Linked DNA regions of Schizosaccharomyces pombe. Changing the gene in region 3 together with the main gene of any one other region gives a genetic interaction. Each region holds a gene or a part of one and is shown on either strand. Other genes may lie near its edges.

Region 1 (4,375 bases), on a different chromosome or scaffold from region 3:
TGTTGACCGTGCTCGCAATTTAAAGAAGTCTCAAGCTTCTAAAAAGAAACAAGCCGGAGATCCTACCAAACGTCTTGAAGCGTAAGTGGAATGGAATCAGGATTTTGTTTAAAAACCAATTAGCTAATATTTTAAGTCAAGCTGAAATTATGCGTGCTAAACAACGTGCAGCTGATGAGCGCAAGGCAGCGGAAGCCAACGGTGGCTCAAAAGGAAAAAAATAACTATATTCGAAATTTTGTTAAAGGGCAGTTTATTCCATCCTTTTAAGTGGTGTTTTTCCACAGTACATTGGCTCTTTATTCTGTTATTTTTCTTCAATTTTACCTCTATTTTGATAAAAACAATAAAATCTATATTTCTAAGTAAAGAGTAAATAAACTCGGTAGTCTTGCAATCTATAATAACATCCCATTAAGTTACTTAATCATTTACTCGTAATTTCTTAACTCTCGGTTATGCATATCATACGCCTTATGTCTCATCTTTGCCAATCAAATTATTTTATTACTAACTACCGCGCGCCTTGTATTAAAAATTAAAAAAATCAAATTCAAGATATACTAAATGCAAATATTCGATAGACTAATTATAAAAAAGGCAAAATCAATAACTTTGAAAATAGCCTAAGAGCAACTCATATAAATAATTTAAAGCTCAAATTAAAGAAAAGGAACATCAAACCTTCTCAACACTTTTCTAAGATCATATAGAAGTTAATCTCTTCTAAAGATATATGTTTAATCACACCCGATTATAAAGAAGAAAATAAAACGGCCTGTATTAATAAACATTTCAGTAACCCACATCACCAGAGATAAGCCAGCTCATCTCGCCAAATAAGTATCGGTAACATTCAAATATTAATTTTCTATACTTTCGATAAAAAAAGTAACAAATTGTTCATGACGACACTTACATAGCAAGAGCAGCAACCAAAAGAGATCCCAAAACTAAAGCACCAGCAGTGAAGCCGTTAGAAGCGGCTGAGCTTTCATGGGAGGAAGAGGAAGAGGAAGATGCAGAAGAATCAGAAGAGTATGAAGTGGTGGTAGCAGAACCAGTGGCAGATGTGGCAGATCCACTAGTAGCAGAGACAGTGGAAGACAAATCATAAGAACTAGTAGCAGAAATGGTAGCAACACTACCTTGGCAAGTGAAATCATCACCCTTAATAACACTGTCATCATTGGACCAAGGGCAAGTGAAATTGGTAGCCTTAGTCTCGACAGTGAGAGCACCCTTCACATCACTCAAATCAGGCATATCAATGCTTGAGAAGTTACCGAGAAGAACTAAACCACCACCAATTTCAGAGATGACGGGGAAACCATCAATAGAAGTCAAACCAGTATCGTTAATAACGAAACCACCACCAACAGTGGTAAGGTTAGGGAAGTTGAGGGAAGTAAGCTCAGGAGAGTACAAAACAGCAAAACTTTGTCCGATTTCGGTAAGGTAAGGAACCGAAATGTTATCCAGAGTAGTGTTAGAGAAATACAAGTTACCAGCAGCACTCTTCAAGTTACCAATAAAGACGTTGCTGATACCATCAAAAGTAGCAGTGGTAACGTTAGAAAGTTTACTGAAGTTTACGCTTACACCCTTAGAGTTAGCGGAAATCTGGATATTTTGAGCACTTTCGAGGCCCTCCATGGTGATCTCCTGAATATAACGATTGTTGGTTACTTGGAAAGTAGTGACGGAATCCAAACTGATACCGTCAATAGCTTGAAGTTGAGTGTCATCAATTACGACACTATCAGAATCGGAAAGACCAGCGTTAAATTGAAGCTCCTGTAAGTTTGGTAAAACAGCAAGATTTAGGCTTCCAACCGAAGTGAGCTCAGGGGTAGCAAGGTTGTTCATGCGGATCATGTTGTTAACGTTAAAAGCACCAGAAACGTTTTTCAAAGAAGGGAAGGAAAGAGAGGTCAAATATTGACCATCAGAAACCACAACATCACCTTGAACGGACTCAATTCCATTAACAGTAAGGGTGGTGATGCCAGAGTTACCAGCATCAGAAATGTACAAATCACCATTCAATACAGTACAGCTGTTAAGCTCGTCAAGAGTACCTTGGGCGGAGATATTGTAAGGGCCGCTGGAGCAGTTGGAAGCAGCTTGTACGCGAGCTGCGGCGAAAAGAAGAGTGAGAGCGAATGATTTGAACAACATATTGACTTTAGACTATATAATGTAGAAATATGATTGGAAAAATATAACGAAAGATAGTTTTTAGGATGCAAAAAGGGAATATGAAGGTAAATTTGTTAAATCAAAAGAGAAAGAGGACAAATATGTAAAATGCGTTTATAAGGGGAAACGTAGTAATAATCAAAAAGACAGAGATTGACCACAAAAGATATGCAGAATAGCGGGTATTTATAAAAGGTATATGCTATATATTACGGGTAATATATATGATATGTTTTATAAATGAATGCGTGGGTAATGAATAAAGAAGTAAAAGAGTGTTTAAAACTCAAATGTAGTTCGCTGAGGATGAAGCGAGTTGCGGAAAAGACATCTATATATACCCGGAAAATGCAAAGAATTGTGACTTGTTAGATAAAAAGGGGGACAACGAGGTGCGCAATTTCGTTGCAATGTTTACTGTAAACAATGAGTAATTGTGTATTGCTGGTTGCTAGGCCACAACACCAACGAGGAGCTTGCGACCAAACTTTGAAGACCGTTTATTGGCTAAACTTGTACGTTTACGAGTAATTTGACTCTCGTTAAACACATTGGCATGACAACAAGGCGTTCGACTCTTTACAGATTGAGAATTGTAAACACTCAATGTAAACAATGCTGTATTTTCTGTCAAAACTTCATTTGTATTCCAGCTTTGGTTTTAAGGTTATTCATCGCATAAACATTTAAAGGGAGAGACACAAACCGCAGTGTTTGACCCTTAAAAAGTCACATTCACGGGCTTTTAAACGTGACATCACTTGTTTGTTTTAGTGAAAAATAACAGTCACCAGATCTCTGAAGAGGTAGGATTTTTTTATACTAGAAAAAAGCAGAAAATCATAAATATTATTTGGTATAGAAAATGCTTCTTCCAGCTATGCTAATCTTGTTTATTTTTCGCTCATATGCAACGGTATTTACGTTTCCGTAAATGGTTTCAGACATTTGTTTACTGACAATTACCGTTACCGCAGCAACGATCTGTCCATCTGCAGTGTAAACAGATTTATTTAGTCATGTAAACAAAGTATTTACCGTGCTGTAGAGAAGTAGAGGCGCAGTGGATATGCTTAGCAAGTTGAAGGAGAAAAGATTGCAAAGGTCATACCGGTATTCAACTGATTGACTAGACTGAACTGTACTGTACTTCAGAAGCATTTACCTGTTACTTTTTAACTTCTTGTAGTTTCGATGATTATTTTGGCCTTTGTGTATTTCATCTTTGTGTGACATCCAGTTATTACTTTAAAACTTAAGTAATTTATATTTCCCATTTTTGATGCACTGAGTGAGAAAAAAACTACTTGATTATTCAAATTTGTTCAATATTTTAAGAAATAGCAAACAACAGTCTACAAAATTATTTTGGCAATACAGTTTAATCAGAAATAATGTTGAAAGGCATAAATGATTTTTAAGTTGATTTTATGTTTATTTTTTTTGTGAATAAGCTATATTATCTTCCACTGTCTAGGATGATTTGCTTCAGAAAATTATTTAATCATTGTTGAAGGTTGAACAATTCTAGACTACTGTGCATGATTTAGGAATAGAATATGAATGTGGATATTTTAAATATTGATCTAGAATAAATGCCCTAATTGGAGAATATGTATTGTATTTAGAAGCTAGTACTCCAAGGTAATAAAATGTATGCTGAAACATAAAATGTTTTTTTGCTATACATGTGCACTGTAAGCTAGACTGTTGAATGTATATGAATATTAAGTCAGTAGAATGCTTGCATCATTTATTACACAAAGTTGAAATGATTAACTCCAGAGATTTCGGGTACTTGTTAAAAAGCATCTTAAGGTGATTAGTTCCGTCATGGTTTTTATAAATTCCTTTACCTTCTATCTCGAAGTAATCTTATAGGAGCGATTACACATCAACTCATATTAAAAATTTAACTTTGATTACTGTAACTTGCCTATTTTTTACATTCGTAGTGTAATCATAATTACCGTCCAAATATTCAAGTAAAAAGCGGCGTTGTAGTCTGATGGAGATGCCCGTTATACAAATTGAGTAAAGCACTCATTTAAGACTGTTTTGCTATTTGGAACCTTTTTATTTTTTTTTTATTTTTTTTATTTGTTCTCTTGTGTGACGTGAGTTAGTAGTTAATCGCTGCGATTATAAAAGAAATTGATTTTTAATACACAAA
Region 2 (4,459 bases), on a different chromosome or scaffold from region 3:
TTTCACCTGATTTAGCTAACTTTCTTCGCAAGCGTTTGATGAATCTCTTTAACCGTTGTCTGGAAGGTGCAATGGGCAAAGTAGATGAGGAACTGAGTTGCATTTCATATAAAGCTCTATCCCTTAAACCTTTAGGTATCCTTTTTATATTATGAGAAGCTGCTCTTCTTCGTAAACATCGAGGAAGAGCTTGGAAAGCACGCTGAGCGCTGGATTCTTTTGATCTTTTCATAGCATCTTGTAAAGCCGTTATTTCAAAACTCCTTGATTCAATGAATTTTTTTAAGTCTACAGCACCATTTGAAAGGGCAGGTGATTCAACCTCTATGAATCTAGCATCAGCGAGCTTTGACCTTTTGACGTTTAGTCCCTTTGGTTGCGTTCCTCCAGTTGAACGCTTCATTTCATAAAATTAGATAAAGTGGGGGACGGTTTTTGTAGCAGCCTTAATTAGGAAGTTAATATTATACAGTGGAACTTGTTTGTTGCATGGATTGATAAATTACTCAAGCGCGTACGAAAATACCATAAAAATGATTTTTTCTATTTGATTTCTTTTATTTATTAGGTTTGAGCAAACGAATCTGCAAATATTGTTTTGAATTTAGAAAAAAAAATGTAGGTGCTTGATTTGGCAAGTTGACAACGCAAGTTGAAAAGTTGTAAGAATCCACCAACGAGTTGAATTAAGTCGTTGCAAGGAGTTCCTTGAAGAACAATTTGAATGAATATAAAAGGAATAGATGTATCATTTGATGCTCAAAAAAAAGAAATCTTAGAAGGCTTGAAATCCTCCGTACCTGATGCATCACCCAAAGGACACCCAGATAGCCCAATATTTCCATTGCTAGATGTTATAAACTCCCACCCGGATTGGGTAACAACTAGTTCATGTTCAGGAAGAATTTCAGTCTATGTACAAGGAGCAAATTCCAGAAAAGGAGGTGGATACTGGCTTTTCGTTAGTCATCAGGCACATGAAGAACTACCACCGGTTTTAGAAGATGAAAAAGTGGAATACGGAAAGGTTCCCAGTTCTCCGGTAGAAGGAAATCGGGAAATACAATACGCTTTTGAACCCATGATTCTGCATGTTCAAACGAGAAGTTTAGCGAATGCTCAGCATTTGCAAAGAGTAGCAGCAAGCTGCGGTTTTCGGGAAACAGGAATTCAAGGTAGTGAGCAGAAGTTTATTGTGGCTATTAGAACAAGTTTACGAATGGATATTCCTATAGGATGTCTTACAGCATCCGAAAAGCTTCAGTTTTACATTACTCGTGAATACATGTGCTTCCTTTTCAAGAGAAGCGTTGAGTATTTTACTGAAAATGGAAATCGAATGGCTAGACTGAAAGAGCAACTGGAGAGACAGGTAGAGAAAAGGATGAAACCAAGGCGGAAATTAAGGAATATGGACGATTATTTGGTGCAATCGTAAATAACTAACAAGTATAAAGTTTTTTGTATAAAAAGATAGTCCCTGTCTAATAATAATAAGAGTATGGTAATAAACAATCATAACGAAGCATGACTTTCTGGAGCAGTTAGGTGTGATACAAGTATATTAACCCAACGTTTGTTGTCTAATAAAGATAGTTCAAGTCTGTGATCTCTTTTCCAGTTTTCATCAGAATACTGATATATCCTTGATTTGACCACTCTAGTGGATTCTGAAGAGCAAACAAGGGTAGCTTGAATGACTTTCGGAATTTGAATGACAAGATGTGTACAAGAAAGATTGGCAGATATGTTTGTCCCATCAATTGTCAAAGACTTATTGATTTGTAAAAGTGCGTTTTTACGACAGATATATGCGGTCAATAATTTATCTACTTTCCACAAAAATATTCTAAACCTTTCAGGGTTCTTTCCAGTCAAATACTCGTCAGCCCATTCTTGTATGTTCAGAAAGCTTGGAATCGTATATTTATATAAAGCAAACGAGTCGTGAAATACTCGAAAAATTATATAATAGGGAACATCAAATCTATTTCCACCTTCTAGTTCTTCGTCCATGCCAGAGGCGGAAGATATTGGATTCTCTGAGAGATTCGTAAAGCCTATATTTACTGGATTCAACATGATATCGAACCGGACACCAAGAAGCGGTATAGAAGGAGCAGTCTCAATGGCTCCTGTCTTTTTATTTTTTACGAGAAGGGTCTTTCTAGATAACTCCTCAGGATCATTGGGTTGGAAAAAGGAAATACCAGAAAGTCGATCATAATGCAGTGCAGGTTGATTTAACGGAGTCTCTTTCAGAAATTCATTGTTTACAGATAAATTTTTGGACAACTCGGGCTTCTGAACGAGATCGGACAGTGTCGCATTATCTAAAGACTTTAATTCATCAAGCAATACATCCCTTCTGGCTTCAAGGACGGAAATTTCATCGATGAGTGTCGCATTGCCTTCTTCATCGTCCATGGCAGCAAAAAAAATTCATGGAACTAAAAAAACTGTAGTTTCAACAGTTTCTTAGGGCCTTATTGATAACATGAACCAAGCATAGAAATTCAGTTACGCTTAGACTCGTCCACGTATGTCAAAGCGTCGAAATACACAGCAGCTTTTATAATTTAATCACTGTAGCATTTCAGAGTTTCGAACTGGAATAGTATTTTAGACGAGATTTGTAATTAGATCAAAATTAGAGATTGGTAGGTTTGAAGATGTAATGGATAGGAAAAAATGAAGATTGCAAATCTATTTGCAACGAAACGAAAAATTATGCAATATTTTTAACTGTTTGATAATATGTAAATTAAATATTTTCTTAATGAGTTACAATAACAAAGAAATGTATAGAAAGCAAAGTCGGACAAGTTGTATATAACTATATAAAATTGAAGATAATTAAATCGCCAGTTTAAAAAAAAAAATTAAAATTAAAATCTAGGAAAGAAAACAGAATGGTTATTTACAAGAACAAAGAAATTTAACTTATAAAATATATAGAATTAAATTGACATAATCCAGGAAATGAGAATTATTTTGAAGAAAAAATAATGACATTTAACAAAATGACATTAAAAAAAAAGAAAAATAAATTAGTAAAGAAAAAAAATGAAGGTAGTTTTCCTTCTTATATAAATGATTTTAAAATCATTACATTTTATAACTCACCAATTAGTGCATCCCTATTAACAATTCTTTTATTAAAGCTCTTCACGTACAATCCCTTAAAACATTCATATTGCATTAAGAAAGCAACAAAATTGTATATTTAATATTAGATTATGAGCGCGCAAGTGCTATACATTGTAGCAGTTTTAAGGATCGTTGAATGTACATGGGGTTTTGATTTGACAAAAGCCAAGTTTGTGTTAAATGAATGCAAAGGGAGAATGTATTATTCAATGTTAAATAATATAATGTGAACTTTTAAGTGGTATTTGTTTACAATGAGCTAGAACAAACATGATAAATTACATTCTTTAATTACAGTATATATAGTTTAAATTAATGAAGCAAATGTCTACGGCCATACCTAGGCGAAAACACCAGTTCCCGTCCGATCACTGCAGTTAAGCGTCTGAGGGCCTCGTTAGTACTATGGTTGGAGACAACATGGGAATCCGGGGTGCTGTAGGCTTTTTGCTTTTTTGTAGAAAACTAAATTTTTTTTAGTTCATTTATTTTCTTTTACATTCTTTTTTATAAAATCAGTTTGGCATCTATAAAACAGGCAATTGTTATATAGTATATTTCATAGTGTCGAGTTGATTTTTGCTGTCATGTCTTTGATACAATTGAGAAAATGAAAATTTAATAGAAAAGTCTTTGTAATACAAAGAAAATCAATTCATCCAGACTGTAAAACTGGGTTCAAGCGACATTGGGCTTACAGTTTGTAAAACACTAAAAATCGGCGATATTCAATAAAAAATCTACAATTTCCAAAATAGCGGTGAGTTAAAGTGATTACTAAAAAGAAAATAAAACCCAATGAAATAAATTTGAATGAAGTAAGGTAGATTTTTTTTTTATTATTATTTATTTTATTTATTTATTTTTCTCTTCTATAGTAGGGATTGCTTAGATGAGCTTTAGTTCTGGGCATACAAGGCATACGAGTGTAAACACAAATTACCACTGCTGACTGAAAAACGGAAAAGTCCATAAACAACGATCAAAAGTCAAACAGAAACAAAAATTATTGATGTTCGTCTTTCGACTCTCATCACTGCTATTTTTCCTACTATTCGACTTTCGGTTTATAAACACTGTATATACTCGTTTACTACCAACCCTATTATTCCTCTGCTACAATATTGCTACTCATATACCATGATCTAACGCGTGTCACTATGCACCTTTATCGTATTTTAGCGCATTGAATTAGCGCTTGTTTTTTTGGGTCACACTTATCAATGCATCGGGGAGTCCCCCACTCCCCCCACTTACGATAGGCCAGGGTTTCACTATCATAGTCCATGCCACGTTCCAATCACCTTAC
Region 3 (3,506 bases):
AGTTGAATTGACTGGCTATTATGAGTTGTGTCTATAGCAGTATCACTTCGTATTGCATGTCAAGTATTATCATTTTCTTTTCAGCAAAAAGGCGCTACAAGGAATTTGTTTATTACTTAGTTTTGTTTAATAAATATTTTTAGCAAAACCTTAAAGACGTAGAGCCGTTTACTCTCTTCGTAACACGACTTTCCATTCGTGTTATTCTACTTTTACTTGCACAATATTTCACTTAATCGGCAGTGTTTACGTACCTTTTTAAAAATATATGCACAAACGCTCTTGGAATAATCCAACTGGACCCATTCGGTCTTATTAAACACAAAGAAAAATTTTGTACTATTCAAAAAATCATAAAAATTATCTAAATCAAATCATACTTTATCCTCGAACATAATACAGTTTGTTTTAAAGGCAGCTTGTATCCTCAATTTTACGATGCAACTTTACTAGCTACATTATCGCCATCCCCTACTATTTATTTAAAAAACCAAAACCAAAAAAAAAAAAAAAAAACTATACAATACATTGGAGAAAACAATTCGCAAAAGAGATGAATATTTAATATCAACACAGAAACAAACTCTAGATTGCGTATTTTCTAGTCCATTCACGAGCACTTAATTCATAACGGGATCTGTCAGTTTTGTAGACGTGCGCAATTTCAGGCACAAGCGGATCATCAGGATTAGGATCTGTCAACAATGAGCAGATAGACAGTAATACCTTTGATATAGTCAACGCTGGAGACCATTGGTCACGAAGGATATCCAAACAAATGCTACCGTTTGAATTGATGTTGGGATGATAGATTCTGGTTGTAAAGTTTACCTACGAATATGCTGTTAGTTATCATTAAAAAAAAAAGACTATCAATCAGATTCGTAATGCTACGCAATGTAATTGCCCTCGCTTCACTTGGATGGACGCAATCGTATAAAAATCGATAAAGTTCCGCTGGTAAAACATAAAGAAATGAAGATAAAAGGTAAGAGTAAACAATTATAAAAAAACTTCTGCGTATACTCTTTCACCATAACACTTAAAAAATTTTGCATCACTGTCAACCATACCGATTTTTCCAGAAAAACAAGATGCAATCAACTCTTCAATTCATATTGTATATAACAAACTTCCTCCTCCGATTCACAAGCTTACAATGCGTATTTACATAATCTACACAAGACTAAATAGTTACATACCTTTGGTGGCTTGAATGGGTAGTCCGTAGGGAAATGAATGGACAAGAAGAAGACACCACCCGCATAAGGGCTGTCAGCCTATATATCATGTTAGCTGCACAATCCTAGCAAGCAAAATTTTGGCAGTGCGCAAGGCACTATTACAGCCGCGACTTACAGGACCCATGATTGTAGCTTGCCAATGGAATAAATCATCGCCAACAGGGCCGGCGGAACAAGAAGACGGTGGGTCTTTTCCAAGATCAGCTAATTCACGGTTAATTCTTTTCAAAGCCATCGTTACTGGTTTGCTTTTGCGATTTTACAAAGTCAGTAGTTTGCTCGTGGAAGAACGTGGACGGAGGTAGAAATAACATATAACCGATGGATGCACTAAATCACACGAGTTCGACTTTGTCTGAGTAAGCAATTTTTCAGGATGGCGCAACTTGCTTTGTACCTGCAAAATACCCGCTAAACAGTTTGTTATCCTTTTAAGGATACGCTACGTTACGATAAATTTTTTCGGGATCCAGCATACTATTGTATTACAAATAGGGCAAAATTAAAGAGAATTACAGATATTATATTATGGGGGCGGTATTATAACGATTTATCAATAAAAGAGCTTGTAAGTGAACTGAAGAACGAGGATCAGTTTAACTGACGACATGATGGCTAACTCAGAAACTATTTTACTTGTGAAATACAATATAGACTATATCAGTATCTTCCCGTATTTAGCGAATAGAGAAACCGGACAGGCGATATTTGATGATATGCGCCGTAGCGACCACAGCAGAATACACCATTGCTCAAAATATCGACAAAATTGTTAAATTACTATAACGTAAAAAATGAGCTTGCCGTTCCACTTTAAATATATAGTGTTGATCATATCTACTAACTTAGCTAAAATTGACAAAGTGGTAATGGGAGAGACTAATGTATAGCTTTGGTTTTATAAAGTGTTACTTAAGTCACGTTAGAAAACTAGCTTATATCCACTGTGGTTATTATTTTCTGCCGGAAGCCATTTTATAGCATTGCTTTATTTGCTCTAGTTATGCATAACAAAAAATAAATTTGCACAAAAATTTTTTGCCCATTTCGCCATTTATAATTAAAAAGACTAAAGTATACCTTTGATTGGAACCATAATCCAAGATCAAATCTGTATTGCTTCACAGCATAACCATAAATGTGTTTGCATACGTGTATTATATACGAAATATAAAACAACAAATTTGAAAATAAAGCACACGACCATTCTCCAAACCCCTGTGTTTTTAGCGTATTACTCATTTATTACAATGTGCAAAGACCAAGTCTCAGTTTAAACAACAAACGCATTTGTAGCGTTGTAGCACCGATCGAAAACTGTTTTTCAACAACTTTCCTTCTGTTACAGCTTCGCAAACTCACTAAATATTTCAATCTGTAAACTACATATAGTTTTCATAGACATTAAAGAAACATACAACTGAACAACTTTGAAAGTATATTTTAAGATCTATAAACTTTCCATAAGTTTTTTAAAATTCGCCCAAATCAGGCTCATCGTCATCTAAATCTGCCTCAGCCATTTCTTTATCCATACGCCTACGTGCCTCTTCCACACCTTCGAGTTCACTTTTGTGAGCATCCATGGGATATCGCATACTTTTTATGCTGTCATTATGAAGGGCAAGACAAAACTGAATACGTTCATGAAAAGCTTGTTGAGGCTGCTCGGTGGAATAAATATCCATGGCTTCGTTACTAGCCATAAAGGCATTACTATGATCGATACTTGCATCAATAACTCCATCACGGATGCCCTTAGCAACAATGTACTCGGCACTCTCTTCACTGTCCAAACCAAGCTTTATACAAACATCACGAAGGGAAATACGGGAATAAGATAAGGAGATCATCCTCAATCCAGTCTTAATGACGGTATGGCGAAGGCGGCATATCAAAGTATACAATCCATCGAAGCGAAATTCAGCCTCATACTTGGAAAGCGCGTCAGTGAAAGCACAAAGGTCACCAATACGAACTGCCTGGCTAATACGTAAGTAAGGCACTAAAGTTTTTTCGAGAGATTTTTGGCGGAAAATGCGGCGTTCGGGAATTTCTCCCATAAGCAATTGTACGACGATGTGCAATTTGTAAACAGCTTCCAGAAATTGAACGGCATATACTGTGTTGGGAGCCTTACGTATAGCACTAACTAAATGTTCATGAGCGGTCGTGTAGTCAAGTTGAATGGCGCGAATTCGACCCAAATAGTATTGGTAGCGAATTGCCAAGTTATTACTAGCATTCGTAAGAAAGGATGTT

What was found.
Region 1: of ubc4 (region 3) and ecm33, extra expression of one rescues a mutant of the other (dosage rescue), as found in Schizosaccharomyces pombe (one study listed by BioGRID).
Region 2: of ubc4 (region 3) and mal2, a mutation in one rescues a mutant of the other (synthetic rescue), as found in Schizosaccharomyces pombe (one study listed by BioGRID).

What each region holds. Positions count from the first base shown.
Region 1 is NC_003424.3:1,569,080-1,573,454, forward strand, and holds ecm33 (extracellular leucine-rich repeat domain, receptor L domain-like Ecm33), read right to left. Parts: upstream 2,511-4,375; 5' UTR 2,182-2,510; coding exon 916-2,181; 3' UTR 534-915; downstream 1-533. Other genes in the region: SPOM_SPAC1705.02 (uncharacterized protein), read left to right, coding at 1-81, 137-224.
Region 2 is NC_003424.3:4,183,491-4,187,949, reverse strand, and holds mal2 (kinetochore protein mal2), read right to left. Parts: upstream 2,669-4,459; 5' UTR 2,428-2,668; coding exon 1,516-2,427; 3' UTR 1,439-1,515; coding exon of another isoform or gene 725-1,438; 3' UTR 534-724; downstream 1-533. Other genes in the region: pop100 (Rnase P/MRP subunit), read right to left, coding at 1-403; wybutosine biosynthesis protein Tyw3, read left to right, coding at 725-1,438. UniProt on the Schizosaccharomyces pombe protein: Component of the kinetochore, a multiprotein complex that assembles on centromeric DNA and attaches chromosomes to spindle microtubules, mediating chromosome segregation and sister chromatid segregation during meiosis and mitosis.
Region 3 is NC_003423.3:713,306-716,811, reverse strand, and holds ubc4 (ubiquitin-conjugating enzyme Ubc4), read right to left. Parts: upstream 1,528-3,506; 5' UTR 1,480-1,527; coding exon 1,360-1,479; exon of another isoform or gene 1,281-1,359; coding exon 1,203-1,280; exon of another isoform or gene 1,045-1,202; intron 832-1,044; coding exon 586-831; 3' UTR 501-585; downstream 1-500. Other genes in the region: 19S proteasome regulatory subunit Rpn3, read right to left, coding at 2,717-3,506. UniProt on the Schizosaccharomyces pombe protein: E2 ubiquitin-conjugating enzyme that catalyzes the covalent attachment of ubiquitin to other proteins. Mediates the selective degradation of short-lived and abnormal proteins. Mediates ubiquitination of pex5.